Lepisosteus oculatus: one gene and its partner. The main gene of each other region encodes a partner of the protein of the gene in region 2 in a complex. Links are inferred from orthologs where the notes say so. Each region holds a gene or a part of one and is shown on either strand. Other genes may lie near its edges. The genes, in order: dbn1 and zmynd8.

Region 1 (7,312 bases), on a different chromosome or scaffold from region 2:
TTTTTAGTCGGTTGCTTAGTTCATGAATTGGCTTTACTCTTCTGTCATTTGGATCTACAAATCTGACTGCCTCGTCTTCCCAGCACACATTAGCCATCTGCTTTGCAGCTTGGTACTGACTTGCGCTGAGATCCCCAAGTTATAATCAAAGCTAACATTATGAAAACACCGCTGGTTGTAATTTTCCATGAGAGCATACAGTCGCTACCAGAGTAAACAACCCCTCCCGCTTCGCCGGCTGGGTCACTGTTCTGTTGTGGATCCAGCAGACTTCCCTACCGTTTCTTGAAGGAGCCCAGGGAATGGACTTCAGCAACTGCATCTGCATGCAACTGGAAGTGCTTTTAAAACTGAGGACAAAGGGTAGTGGAGGGGTGGAACAGGATACCCAGCCATTTTGTCAAAGCCAATAACCCTGGCTCCTTCCAAGACACACCTGGTGGAGATCCTCACGTCAATTAACCTTAAAACGGCCCAGATGGGCTGAATGACCTCCTCTCGCTTGCACTCTTTCTTGTTTTCTGATGAACAGCTGTTCTAATAAGCATGAACCTCATGGATACTGTTATAGTTAGAGGAGCTCTGGATATTAGCATTACTTAAAAATGAATCAGTTCTGATCACTCCCACCATTTTGTTTCCTACACCTTCCACGATTCCCCGGAAGCACGGCTCCGTCGGCTCGCGTCAGGTCTGTGAGCAGGTGCAAATGCACGGCCCCTAGCTGGCAGCTTCGGTCAGTCTCGGGCTGAGAAGGGCAGCCCTTCTAATCACTCTGATGGAGGGCGGCAGCCCAGTGCTGCTGCACCGGGGGACGGAGGAGCTTGAAATCCGATGCTGGTCTGACATGGTGCGAGAGGAGGAGGGGGGGGCTCTGGGTTCCCAGCCCAGATTGCGCTGGGCAGATGTCTCCCCGAGAGTAATCAACATCACAATTGAAATAATTGGTACCTCCACCATCCGCCTGTCTGGGGGCTCAGGGATTGGCTGAGCACTGAGCACTAATTATTGTTAACCCACTTACAGAGAGAAGAGGCTGCAGGATGTGGGGTGCCCCATTAGGCAGTGGGGAGAGCCGGTGGGGGGAGGGGGTTCTTGTCTGTGTGTGTCAGAGTCAGGGAGAACACGTAACTGCCTGTTTACTACCTGATCTCTGTATAGGTTATATATACGTACATGTGTAAAAAAACGCAGCTGCGGAGGCTGTCTGTGTGTCTCATGGAGAGCAGGCTGGGGTATGCAAAAAGACAAATTCCTAATACAAGAAATTGTATATGGCCAATAAAGTGATCTTATCTCTTATCTTACAAAGTTAACAAAAACAGATGTGAAAATAGCAATTTTGTCATTTTTTCTAAAGCTCTTGATGAAGCGTAGGACACACGTTTCGCTCAGAGGTGGCACTCTTGCTCAGTCTGACACATTAAAACGTTTTCAATCATTTTCACCAAGTGAGGCTCTTTCTCTGCATAGTGTGAAGTGAAACAATGTGAAAACAGTGGAACAAATGAAAAATAAAAAAATGTACGCTACACACTCTGGCACATTGAAGTACGGTTGACAGGCGGTGTCCTACAGTGGTCATGACTGGTGGATGGTGATTACTTAACGTTTTAATGGCCTGGTTATTAGGCATGGCCCCATGGCAGAGAGTCTCCACGAGCTAAAGGTCTGAATTTCAGTTTAAATTTCACTAGGACTCATCTAAGTGTGCAGTACTCTTACAGAATCACCATAGACTATAAAACAAGTAACTAGCCCTGCTCCTGAAGACCCATAATGTGTTCTGGTGTTTAGTGCCAGTTAAGCTTTGAATATTAGTGGTTACTTGCTTCATTGAATGGTATAATGGAGTATGCTGGTCTCTTTTGAAGGACTGTTCAGGTTTAACTTAGGAGACCTTCCAAACTCTCTCTTCAGGAGTAGGGCTGTGGATGTAGGTTCTGCATGGTTACTGTGTTTCCAGAGGTTTTAACTTAAATAGCCACAGCTTTCATGTTACTTTCAATGAAGACTCGTTGAAAAGAGTGCAAGAGTGCACAACTGATCACTTCATATCAAGAGACAGAAGGGAGATTGGGTTAAGTTAAACATTTATGAGCTCACCGCCTTGGAAGGTAAATAAAGGGTTCAAAGACTCCTACAAAGCAATGATTTAAGGCCATCATAACAAGATCATCCCTACTAAAACACTTGGTTCACGGTAAAATATAAACATCCTCACCGATGATGTAATGTTCTTGGATGATTAGCACTAACAAAACTAGGTTTGTTTTTCTTTGTCAGCGAAGGTTACTTTTGCTGCAACAGCTCCTTGAATTCAGTCAGTTTCAGGGTTTTCTGGTGGAAATTGGAGCTCTTCATCATTGGGTCTCAACTTGAAACATGAAAGGAAACCAAATTCTTCAGGACCTAAGGATCAGAGAGCTGCAGTCCTGCAGGCTGTGTAGCCAATCTTAAATAGTCAATGAGCAAAAACCTGAAAAGTATTTGAACTCCTTTGCTTGAAGAAGGAATTAGGCATTTCAGAGCCCAGCTGGAAAGAAAGCCAATAGACACAGTGGCTCTCCAGCAGCAGAGATGAATATTCTCAGTATTGGAACATCGTGTAAATGTAGAACGTAAGAAGACAGAAGCTGAATGTGATATCCACAAGCATGCCTACATGTTGTAATCAGAGATTATCTTTAACATCGTGTATAAAGGGGACATACACGGTTCACATACTAAACATCAAAACAAACTGCATAACTCAAATTCACAAGGTTATCAGTGTAAGGACAATCATTTTGTATCAGGCCACCTCACTTGTTATTGATGGATGTGATGGACCGTAGGTAAACTCCTTATGCTGATTAAAATATGTGATCCACAGGGTTGATGGGAGCTCTTCACAGGCCAATGGCACGTGTGGGGAATGCTGGAAGCTGTACAAAAACTGCACAAGCATGATTTAGCGTACACCGGGTTGCAGATGATGCTTGGTGAAACTCTCTCTACCAGCATGATTCCTCTCGATGTTCCTGGACAAACCTGTGCACTGGTCTCTGATCCCTAAATGCTAAACATATTCCCAACACACCCACCCCACACACAGACGCGCATCAGGCTTTACATGTGGTGAACAGAGCCTCCCTGGCACAGCTGCCCCACCTTCACCTGGCAAGAAGGCCCTCGTGTGTTGTGTGTTGTCGAGCCTTCAGGAAGGTCCCAGTGTAGCTCCGTGCAGTCGGGCTGCCTTCAGTCTCTACAGGAGCTGTTCTGCAGACGCTGGACACTCCTGCCCAGAACATCACACCTAGACCTCCCTGTTGACCGGGCTATGAACACCACAGTTAGAGTATCATTCTGCACCCCTGCGCCACACTCGCGGACGTCCTTCAGGGACGTTCAACGCAAGGCCTTGATTCGTCTCTCAAGGGGACTCCAGCGAAGCTGTCCACTTGAGGTGTGGCTCCAACAAACCGAGGACACAAAAGCCTCTTTCTCTGGAGGAGTGGAGTATATCGGTTCCTTTCTGTGTATCCCTTTCTTCATTTTCACCGGGCTGGACAGGAACAAACTCTCCGCCGGTTCCGAGTCAACCTTCTCTCCCGCCAGGAGATTCCATACGTAAGCAGCTATGTCACTGGAGTGTGTCAGGATCCGTCGCAAAAATGGCTGAATAATCAATGACGGTATCCCCATTGTTCAATCACCGGTCTGTCAAAAAACATTGAATCAGCGACCAAAATCTGAATGTATTTTTTAAAGGCCAGCCTTCACCAGTAGAGCGATAGGCTTCTTTTGAACCCGAAGAAGGCTCCACAGCCGAAACGTTGTGTTTCCTTCCTTCTCTTTCCAGCAGGGAATAAACCTTTGCTGGCTTCTCTTGATTGTCAGTATACCCTGTCAAGAATGACATCATCAGCGCAGTCCATATATGGCCGGGCTGGGCCGGCGCTAGGACCCGGCGTTGTAACCTGCGCCTCCCCGCGGTGGTGGTAGCACTAGGACCGAGCAGAACATTAGGTTAGTGCAGAGAAGGACCGTCTCTTTGTTCCAATCTCGAGATCTGTCTCCCCGCAGCCTCACTCTCTCCTCTCCTTTTATTCCATTACAGTATTACACAGGTCTGGATGACTGCGAGGACAGCAAAATGGCTGTGAATCTCAGCAAGAATCGACTGGCCCTGTTAACAGCCTACCAGGATGTTATCAGCGAGACTTCGTCCACCGACTGGTAAGGCAAACGTACATAGGTATCCCCACCCGCTGGTGTGGTGCTGGGGTTTTATTATAAGGCGTAGGCTTGTGCAATATCACTGCCGAACAATGTGGGTACTGATGTCCACGGCCGGGGAATGATGCCTCATCATACTACTGTACGGTTTGCGCTGAAACGCCTCGGATAGATGCAGCAGCAGCCTTTCTGTGGATAAACTCTGGGCAGGCGATAAATGCTTTTGGCACTTGGGGTGCAGCCGTGCAAAATCAGTTACTTTGCATGTTTAATGACCGCAGTTTATGGAAATGTAAGCTGATATCACCTTACGTGATACGGCATGTTGATTTCGTGACAAACACCCCCCCCAACCTTATTGTACCCCCCAAAAGAGAAAAGGTCAGACTTTAACACCAGGGTTTTTTTAGAAAAAGGAAAAAAAAACACTTGATTAGCTTTGGGATTTGATAATGCTTTGCGTTCAACAGACAATTGATTCGTTAGCCATATTTTAGTATTTTTTATTGCACATAATTTTGCCTTTCTTGTTCTCTTTTTTTGGGGGGGCCAATTTACCCCCTCGTGAGTCCGTCACGCATTACGCATTGTCAGAAATCCGAGTAGCCGCTAATGTTTTGCAAGATGTACTATTGTTTGCTCTGTCACAGGCTGCTCTGCCTCGGATGACCGCTAGTTCAGGCTAATTTGTAGTTCCGAAGCTTTTTCCGTTGGTCTTTTTTTTTTTTGTCGTACTGGGCACGGCTGAGGAGGGGTCCACCTCGCTCCTGTCGCTCGGCTGTGCTCCCTGACAGCACCTCCGCGAGTGGTGGAGTGGGCGAGGCGAGAAGGGACCGGCTTTCGGCGCAACAGTCAGCCCCAAGCCCACTGGCTCGGCACACGAGTGTGTGGCGTGCCCTTGCATCCCGTCGGATCCGACGCCAACGGCGTAGTAACTTTCTGCGGCGTTTCAGCTCGGCGGTGGCGATGTTCCTCAGCCCGCAGCCCGTGAGCACCTGGGGTGTGATGGGCAGTTGTTCATGCCTCGTTAGAGGACGCAGTGTTTTAGCTGCGTTTCAGCGGATTGATGAGATGTTTCCTTGGCTGAAGACAGGAGTCAATCGCTGATATAATTATTCATCGGAGCGCAGCTGTGCCGGGGAGAGGGGACAGCAGGGTCTATAGATTTTTTTTTTGGGGGGGAGGGTAGGACTTTCCTTTTGAAAATAACCTAAAGGTTTAAACAGGATGTCCATAGAACCCATTTATATAGAGAACCAGGACTTTTCTATAGGATCTGTAGGTTGCTTTATGAAGGGTGCACAGTGAGTGTGGCGGTATAAAGACATGGAGATGTAATCCCAAAGGCTTGTAACAGGACTGCAGTATTTTGCTAAGGAGGACTGCTGGGAGGAAAGCTTAGGTGTCTACTTGTACTTCTACGAGAACGCAGCAGTTTCACTAGACTGTGGTAACTGTTGCAGGAGTGGCCCTGGTACTGTATTCACCTCTTGCAAGGAGACAAAGACAAAGACTCCTCCCTTTGAATAAGAGCTGAATCAATTTTTAGAATTGATGAGTTGCCTGGACATGAACAAAGTATATGCAGCAATGGGAAAATGAAGAAAACGTGTGACTATCTGAGCTGAACGTACCTACCTGCCTGTGCATAAGTTTATCAAGTCATCTAAAAACGTGAACTGGATCTGGCCGCTTGCATTGGGAGTCTTGTTTTCCCGTTGTAACGTTCATCTGTAGAGGAAACCCGGTTCTTTGCAGGTTGTTGTTTGTTTGTCTTTAATGGGATCAATCTTTTAGACAACTAGATAGGTGGTGGTTTTTGTCAGGTCATCTATAGGTCATTTCTGTACGATAAGAGTTTCTCCTGTGTGTATGTCGGAACACTTTACTCCAGTGCTCACATCCCTGTAGTGGCTGCCTGTTGACCTTTTACATTTGCTTTAAAGAAGCTGATGTCACTTTCCTGAAAGAAGACGTCACTTAAAAGAAGTGATATCTATATCCTTCATGGGTTAGGGTAAGGGGCTTATGTTTGTCCAGGAAATACTCCACACACTCCAAATCATTTGCAAAGGTCTAAGATCAGTGAGTGGATCACTGAGCATTGTCTTCAGCTGGTTGGGTTCTGCAGATTTCTGTGGCTCCAGATAAATTAATTCCATTTCACATTAGGACTGTCTCAAGTGAATATTATTTTAGGTTAAAGCAGTCATGCATAGCTGGACTGGGGCTGTCCTGCAAGCGTTTGTGTCTTGTTTTGAATGCGGCGCTGCTTTGTGATGTGCCTTGGAATGACAGTCGCTCCGTCCTCATGAATCTCGTTTTCACAGAATTGCTTTCATGCTGCTGGAAATGGAAAATTTGACATTTGTCCTCCAATGTGATCCGAAAGAATAAAAAGGAGTGGTGTGAAAATGGGGTACCTAATATGGACTCCAAGGTCTTCTTCAGGAATAAATGAAACGTCCTGTTTGTTCCTACAGTTTGCAGACACAGCTGGGGGGTCGTAGTCCCAGGTGTCACTGTAAAGTGACCAAGAGCATTGTAACCAATATCCAAAATAAAACAGTGTTGCTTATGCTTAATTCTCAATTAGTGTTGGTCAAACCTAACTCTGAAGGGTTTTTCTGTTTATCAGTATTGTAATTCTGTTTTTAAACTGAAACGCATCTGCAGAACTTCCAAGTAAGTAAATCTGGAATTTCCTTACAGCTCTGGGGTCTTGGGTGGGATTCTGGACTGGGATGATTTCTGAGTGGAGATGTTTCCTCCTGGTGCTCCAGGACCCTTCCAGTTAACTGGTTCGGTTAGCTGGGGTCTCTCAGTTGTCTCTGTGTGCTCTGGGCTGGACTGGCCAGGATAGGCCGCATGCTGTGTTAGCCCTCATCAGGAATGGGAGGCTTCTGACGGTGAATGGATTTCAAGAGGCCCTGTTGCCATTTTGTAACTGGGTTCTTAAAGCTTTGAACTGTTGTGAATAACTGGCACACACGGTGCTTTTGGGGGTGGCACTGTGGAGCAGTGGTTGGCACTGCGGTCTCCCATCACCGGGGTCCCGTGTTCGATTCCTGGGGTGCTGTCTGTGTGGACT
Region 2 (7,312 bases):
AGCCACGAGAACAGCAGACTGTCAACTTCTGCATAACTTCAGGCCACTTATTGAGATTGCACTCCTTAATTTGTGGCTCTCATCAAAAAAAAAATTAGCCACCTTCCGCCCATCAATCAAATTCATATTACCTAATTACACTTTGTACGATATGTGCATTAGTAAAGCAGGCTGAAATCTTCAATACAAGGCAAAGCACTGACAGGAGAGGGCTCTAATACACTGTTCCTTGCAGTTCCTCAAGTCCTGTTCTGTAAAATTAGTTGAAAGCAATGTTTTTCAGTCGTTTGCAGGAACAAAAAGCTGTGCACACTCTCTCCATTACCTTACACCAAAATGTAAACCTGTGTGCTACTCTGTAAGCCATTTGCTCCCCCAGGGATCCCTGCTGTGCTGTTGTAGCTACATCTGTTTCTTAACTTCCATTTTATCTGAGGCTGACATGTGACACAGGCAAACAATGATGCAGGCAATCTGCTTACAAAGAGATCCCTCACAATCAGAAAAGACTAAATCAACAGAAAGAAAATGTTACATATATTCCTGTCTTGCAAAAAGGATTTGCCATGGTCATCTCTGCAATGGAGACTGGCTAAGTAACCATGTGACCACAGCCAGCAAGAGAAACTGCTTTTGCTTCTGCCTGGTTCCAGTGCTGTGGTGTGTGATTTGCAGGCTTCCCTCTCAAAGAACAATATTCTGGTATTAGATAAACAGTACATTAAGGAAAAAGTAAGAAAATCAGGCTTACCTCTGTGGATGCATGGCTAACACAGTGTTATGTCAATACTTATAAAACATGGAGGACAGTCTCAGTTCTTAGACAGAAAGGGCTTGGCACTTCAGCTTGATGATCAGACTGCCAGATAGAAGCTAGACCCTGAATGGCCTCTTTTCACTACCGGGATGTAAAGCGGCAGCGGATTGGCTGAAACATTTCCTGAGTAATTATCTTTGTTCAGCTCAAGCAGGCAGGAGCAGCTCTGTGGACAAAAAGAAGAGCCAGATCTAGGCCCAAATCACAAAATACACACTTTAAAACATTCCTACAAACAAATGAACACATACAATGTTCTAAAATCGTTACCAATCACTGCATCCTACATTGGCTGGGTTGTATTTAACTGTATTTTCCAAAATATTTCCCCAAAACATGAAAACTAGGAGCAGTCTGACTCGTCCTCCCTGTTGCAGAGAGAAAGGCCTTTGTCTAAGAAATCCCTCCCTTTTATTTTAACAATCCACAGAAAATTTAAGTTCCCAAATGCAAAAGTATACGAATGAAGAGTAAGAATAAATGGTGACAGCAGTCTGTAGAAGGTCTGTCTTAGGCCCATCTGTAAATCTACCAGGCTTCTAGAAATATTACATTTATAAGATTCTTAAGAACAAAATAGTCAACTGGCCAACTACACAATTATTTGTGTATATATATATATCTTTCCTATATATATGCAGAAATATTAGATATAAAAACATGCAGACAATATACAGTGAATGTAAATATTATATTTTAAAGGCATATTTCTAATATTACACAACATCTCACAAAATGTTAGTATTGCAAATTCAGTTAATTCCCATTAGATTCCACAAAATTACTGTTTTCTCTAGATCTTGGTCTACTTACAATCTCTTAGAAAAAGACAGTTTGATTGTGCATTACTAATCAAATACTGTATTAGATTTAATCCAGAAATAAAAATAGATTTGTATACAAGCACTAAACATCTACCAAAATGAACTGTTTTCTATATGAAAAATATTGTTTTGTTTTCGTAATTTCTGGTTTTCCAACAGAAAATTATTATTTAAATATAGTACTGTCATGGTTGTTTTATGTCAGGAGAAAAGGCTGACATTACCTCAATCAAAGTGGAACTGTGTGTACTGTTTTTTTCCTATTTTCCCCATGAAATATATGCACTGTGCTACAAAAAGTAGCCAATGTCCTCTAGTCGGGTCACAAACTCTGATTAACAGCAACAGCAATTTGTTTTTTTTACATGTGATTCACAAATTTCTATTAATTGGTTATTGGGGTATTGTTGCATTTGTGAAACAAATGTTTTTAAAAGTAAATATAAAATAATATTTCATATAAATAATATATAATAAGCTTTTTATACATAATTTAAACACAAACATGCCATATATTTTCATTGTGAATTCAAACTGTGCATCTATAACAAATTGTATTTTATTTCAGAATGGCATAATATTTCTTACATATCAGGCCGCACTGCTATAGTTTTGCATAATAAAAGTTAATTTATGTGGCAAGAACAAGGAATTCTACCAATCACAAAGATAAAACAATCATATAAAAAAAAATTCATAACAGATTTAAAAGCACCCAACATATAGAGATATACATTGGCTACTACTTACAATTTTTGTGAGATTCAGGTGTCTAAAAGCTTAAAGTATTGGCCTCACTCACTCCTTCCTATAATGGAGTGTCGAAAATGGACTTCTTACTAATTACTGAACAGCCTGCAATTATATGTTCTGACACCTGCACGTGTTGAACACCTTCTAATACTGCTATACACCTGCATTATAATTTTACAATTCACTTGTAGAAGAAACATTATTTTCGCAGGAAATACTATTTACTGTATAGCTTTGTGCCCTTTTTCTGTGATCCTAAATGTAATAGTGACACCTTGAGGCAAATTCTAGTATAGATAAATAGGCTGCACTCTCACATCCTACACTAATCACGTTGTGTTCTTTCATGCCTTGGCACATTAGACTTCCATATACATAGAATTAAAGGGTCAGATGATAAACAACCAGAACCTTAGAGTGGTCATTTACATTTACACCTTTTCCACCACATAGCTCAGTTACTATTCTGAATACTTCATCACCACTCCATCACTGCACAAAATTACTTTTACAGACTGAAGCTTATAAATGTGTTCTATGTGCATAGGCTGCCCAGCTGTTGATTAACCACACCTGGATACACAGCGTTTAAAAATGTCTCCTCCAGTCCTGGCACTGAAACAAAGTGGAGACAAATGGCTGTCAAAAATCTCTCATTTTTTTGGTGAGCACAATACAGTACTTGTGTTGAGGCCTTCAAAGTGAACACACCACATCTCTTTGAGAATTGTAAGTCTTCATCAGCCTCGGGAGTGCTGAAGCTTTTTTTTTCAGACAAGCTGGAAGATGATTTATAGTAAGATGCTGTCCTCACAATGGATATTTTTAAGGGAGCTCTTATCTCTTTAAGGTGACATCCTCTTAGGCCCAGCCCTCACTGCCATGATGTTTAAAACACACAGGCACTGATGACTTGATTTTGCTTCTGAAGATTTTGCAACTTCCCTGAATTAATTTTTCTGTCTTTTAAATATAAAGCATGTCTGTATTTACATTTCTATGCACTGGCTTCTGCAGCCACTGGCTGTTGAATTCAGCGGCACTCAGGAATCGCACTAGGCAACATGGCAGTAATTAACTAAAATATGTCAATATAATTGCTTATCATTGCATATTATGGCTATGCATGTAAACAATTGCATACAGTTGATAGTACTTATACATTAAGTGTATAAGTGTCCAAGTGAACAGGCTCATTTATTTAAGTTACCACTCAGCCAGACCTTTATATCTAAATAATTTAATCACAAAATGGAATTCTAGTTTCATTCCAACGAGACTCTTCACACCTTCACTTGATGCAGCTTGCAAACGCTTTAACAGGAAGGTTCTGTACATACCAAAACCCTTCGGTAGTTGTAAGTGTAACTAGATTTAAGGAAACGGTAATCGCACAGGATTTTTAATGCTCCTCTGAAGTGAGTAACCAAACCTTAGTTGCATTGCGCCCCGTGTAATGTTTTCTTTGGTCCCGATACAAAATCTCTCCAGAAATGTAAAGTATTCTAGACTATCAGTGCAGCCCTTTGTTTCTTTTCATGAAACGGCTTTACTAACCTTTGGTGAAGAAATCGGTGTTATCCCAGTCTTGCTTGTACAATGCTTTAAAAAAACGTGTGTGTATGGATTATGTGCCTCCTAAGCATTCAGAACCCCCATCGGCCACTCTCATTCTAAAAAAAAACCCTTCTTTTTCTGTACCCTAAAACTGCAAGGTTTAATGCTCATGAACGCGTTCTTATTGGAGAAGACAGCAGTCGATCTTGTTGTGAAGGGGAAATAAAGCGCTTCAGCACGCTGTGACAACACGACGACGACGACTCAAGTCAGAGAGCTTTGACGTAGCGGAGATGGAGGCCTTGACGGTTTTCTGCCCTGCCCGGCAGGTTCACCGAGCGTGGGTGACGATTGGCGGACGCCTCAGCCGCTCATCCCGGCTTCCTTTTTCCGATTGGTCCATCTGCCCGTCCATCAGACGTGTGTCCCTGCCGCGGGGGGCGGGACCTGTGCGTCAGTGGGCGGTGCTTGGAGGAGTCTGGAGTAGAATCTGGGAGGGTACGTCGGGCTGAGTCCGGTGGTTGCGTGCGTGGTGTGTGTGTGTGTGTTTGTGAGCACATTTTGCCTTCTGTCGATCCTCTCGAATTCATGCTAAAATACTGCACCTTCTCAACAGTGAAGTGGCGGGGCAAGAGGAAAGGGGGGTCTTGTTTTTGGGAAACACACGCGGGAAGAAGTGCTTGCCGAGTCAGCCAGAGCCATGGGTTTCCGTAAGAAGAACAAGAGCCCGCCGGTACTGAGCCACGAGTTCGTGATCCAGAACCACGCGGATATGGTGTCGTGCGTGGCCATGATCATTCTGCTGGGACTCATGTTTGAGGTACAGTAAGGAAACAACAAAAAGCAGATCGGCACGCAGGACACCCGGTTGACAGCCACAAGGGGGCTGGGCACAAACTATCCCCCCCTGATCATTAAGACTGAACGCGGCCATATAAACCTGGTCACATTACAGGAAAAGCTCCTCTCAACAGGGCAAATAGTTCAGAGTGCCGAACACAAGAGCTCCCGGACATAGTTCAGAGCCGCCAGAAATGTCTTTATTGGTTTATATAACGCCTCAGCTTACTGGGCTGATGTCACAGCTAGGCACCCACATCAAAATATCATTTTACACCGAAGATATGTTTTTAAGAGGTACTGTAGCTGGCTAACTCGAAGGGCAGTGACGCCTGGTCGATGGTTAAAGTGTTATTAATGATCGGATGTGCCAAATGCAGCTATGTACCTTGCCATACTGCAGGTGCTTTAGGGTTGTACTAAATATAACCGCAAAAAGCAATGTTTTAAACGTTTATTTTTTTTCTGCCTGTTACCTGTTACTGATGGTAATATTTCGAATGCGAACGACGACGAACTTGACAAAATGTTTGTTTTCGCGTCTCGGCAGTCATTATTTACATTGAAGGGTGCGAGGCACAGCTTTTGTTTTTGGAGCGAATGAACTAATGGCACCTGGACGGTTTAAAATTTAAAATTTAAAATGTCTTCTGTTAATTCATAAAGTTACTAATTTTAGTTTTACAGCATAAAACTGACGTTGCACGAGTTGTCCAAAGGGTTCAGCAGTCTTGCATTATCATGCATTAACTTCATGTGTACATGTTTTTGATACAGTACAATTTATTTGTATTTGTATTTACTGGATTATGATATTATCTGCGGTTTCTGCTACAATGCATTTTTTATGTAGTGCATCGTATAAAACTCTTCCACAAAGAGAGGCTTTGTCTGGAAGTTCAGGAATAGTCATTGAAAATGGGGCAACACTAGGTGAAACTGTGAGAATTGAAAGCCATTGCTATCTCACATGCCAGCTCTGAAAATATTTCAAATCTGTAGCCGGGTTTGTACAGGGCACCAGAAAAACACAAGACAGTGTGACTCACACTGTCACACAGGCCCTTTTCTGGGCCTGAAAAGGGGGTTAAAACGAAATGCATCATCTTATAATGTCATTGCACATTGATGCAGAGTTTTCACATCAGTAACCTGATTTGCAAAGAAGCAGAAATACCACATTAGGACAAGACATAAGTGTCAGGGCCCGCCATTTAGGATATAAATAAAAATATTGATGAACTGACATCCAAAGGAGTTTTGAAGTTTGAGACAAAATGATTATGTGTGCCATTCCCTGGGGAAGAAAAAAAAACAGAGCACCAAGCATTGGAAAATATCAGAGCAAATAAAAATGGACACAATTGTTTTTCTTAATATTCACATTTAGAGCTCAGGCAGAGATTAGGTTTTCCTGCCCTGGAAAATTGCATTAAAGCAAATCTTGACTACGTGCACTTTAGCAGTACATCATTGGACCTTCATGTTACGATTTTACATGTTCAGTTCATGCTTGTTGCCCTTCATACAAGTTTAATGTTTAGTTTGGAGTGTATTTTTTCTATTGGAGAGAGAGAGCATTTTAATGACTGTTTCTTCATTGTTCTTTTTTTTTCTGCAGGTAACAGCAAAATATGCCATCATGTTTATTACTGTCCAATACAATGTGACATACACGCTTGGTAAGTCTTAAACTTTAATAAAAAACACATGGGGTACACTTTTACAGTGTGTAAAGTTGGTTAAATATTATCTCAGAAATATGCTATTTGTGTTTTGCCTCAGAGCCTTTTACTTCACTGTAACATTTCCTTGTTTTTTGTTCGTTAAATAATTAATTCTTTACACTTATATAGCACTTTTCTGGGGACTCAACTCAAAGGACTTTAATAAAACTAAAGCATTGCTACAATAAAGTTTGATACAGAGTCCTTACAGCTGCTGGGAATAATCACAAAAGTCGAGCATGGCAGAGGCTTTTTACATTCAGAAAAGGCTTGAGTGAAGCCAGTGTCCCAGTTTCATTTGCTTGGTGTTGCATTGTCTGGTAGCACACTACAATGAAAAGTTTACCCACTGAGACAACTTGGGTTAAGATGTGCAGAAGTCAAAAGAAATGCGTTAGGAAAAACTGAGGGGGGTAAGAAATGAGATCATCTTCATCAGAGTAACCATGCAGTTGACATAGGTTTTGGGCTAAAGAGCAGCTCTTCAGATGTGCTATGTGTGTGTTAGTGTCTGTTGCGTGCAGACTGTTAAGGTCAATCCAGAATCATCTAAAATCGATGAAAACGCAAGTAAAAGCCTTTCTGATGCCTTTTGTTTTGTCTGCCTAATTTTTTTTTCCCATCTTTTTTCAAAAGTTTAAATACGATGAGTACTGTGTATCTCCAGAAAGGGGTAGGTTTAATCAAACTCATGCTAAAGAGGTTTACAGTTAACATTTAGTATAACAAAATTGGACTCACCCCGGGGACAGGACTGATGGTTGCATCAGTAATGGTGCAGAAATTCTCATCCC

What was found.
Region 1: the proteins of zmynd8 (region 2) and dbn1 are in contact, whole or in part, in a crystal structure (PDB 5Y1Z), measured with the Homo sapiens proteins. The link is inferred for Lepisosteus oculatus from reciprocal best matches to the Homo sapiens genes ZMYND8 and DBN1. Residues at the interface, in NP_001350670.1 of Homo sapiens: Gln167, Pro168, Gly169, Thr170, Gln236, Ile237, Val240, Lys243, Ile244, His247, Trp269, Leu285, Gly287, Phe288, Phe307, Gly309, Gln310, His311, Asp312, Ala314, Thr335, Lys336, Ser337, Ile338; in NP_004386.3 of Homo sapiens: Met1, Ala2, Phe6, Ser7, Arg10, Leu11, Leu14, Tyr17, Glu18, Asp92, Ala93, Cys96, Ala97, Ala99, Ser100, Lys104, Glu107, Phe108, Gln110.

What each region holds. Positions count from the first base shown.
Region 1 is NC_090706.1:39,983,880-39,991,191, forward strand, and holds the start of dbn1 (drebrin), read left to right. Parts: upstream 1-3,922; 5' UTR 3,923-4,011; intron 4,012-4,024; exon of another isoform or gene 4,025-4,102; 5' UTR 4,103-4,138; coding exon 4,139-4,221; intron 4,222-7,312. UniProt on the Homo sapiens protein: Actin cytoskeleton-organizing protein that plays a role in the formation of cell projections. Required for actin polymerization at immunological synapses (IS) and for the recruitment of the chemokine receptor CXCR4 to IS.
Region 2 is NC_090711.1:7,659,709-7,667,020, reverse strand, and holds the start of zmynd8 (MYND-type zinc finger-containing chromatin reader ZMYND8), read right to left. Parts: upstream 4,247-7,312; 5' UTR 3,952-4,246; intron 984-3,951; 5' UTR 766-983; coding exon 752-765; intron 1-751. Other genes in the region: translocating chain-associated membrane protein 1-like 1, read left to right, coding at 4,652-4,771, 6,413-6,473. UniProt on the Homo sapiens protein: Chromatin reader that recognizes dual histone modifications such as histone H3.1 dimethylated at 'Lys-36' and histone H4 acetylated at 'Lys-16' (H3.1K36me2-H4K16ac) and histone H3 methylated at 'Lys-4' and histone H4 acetylated at 'Lys-14' (H3K4me1-H3K14ac).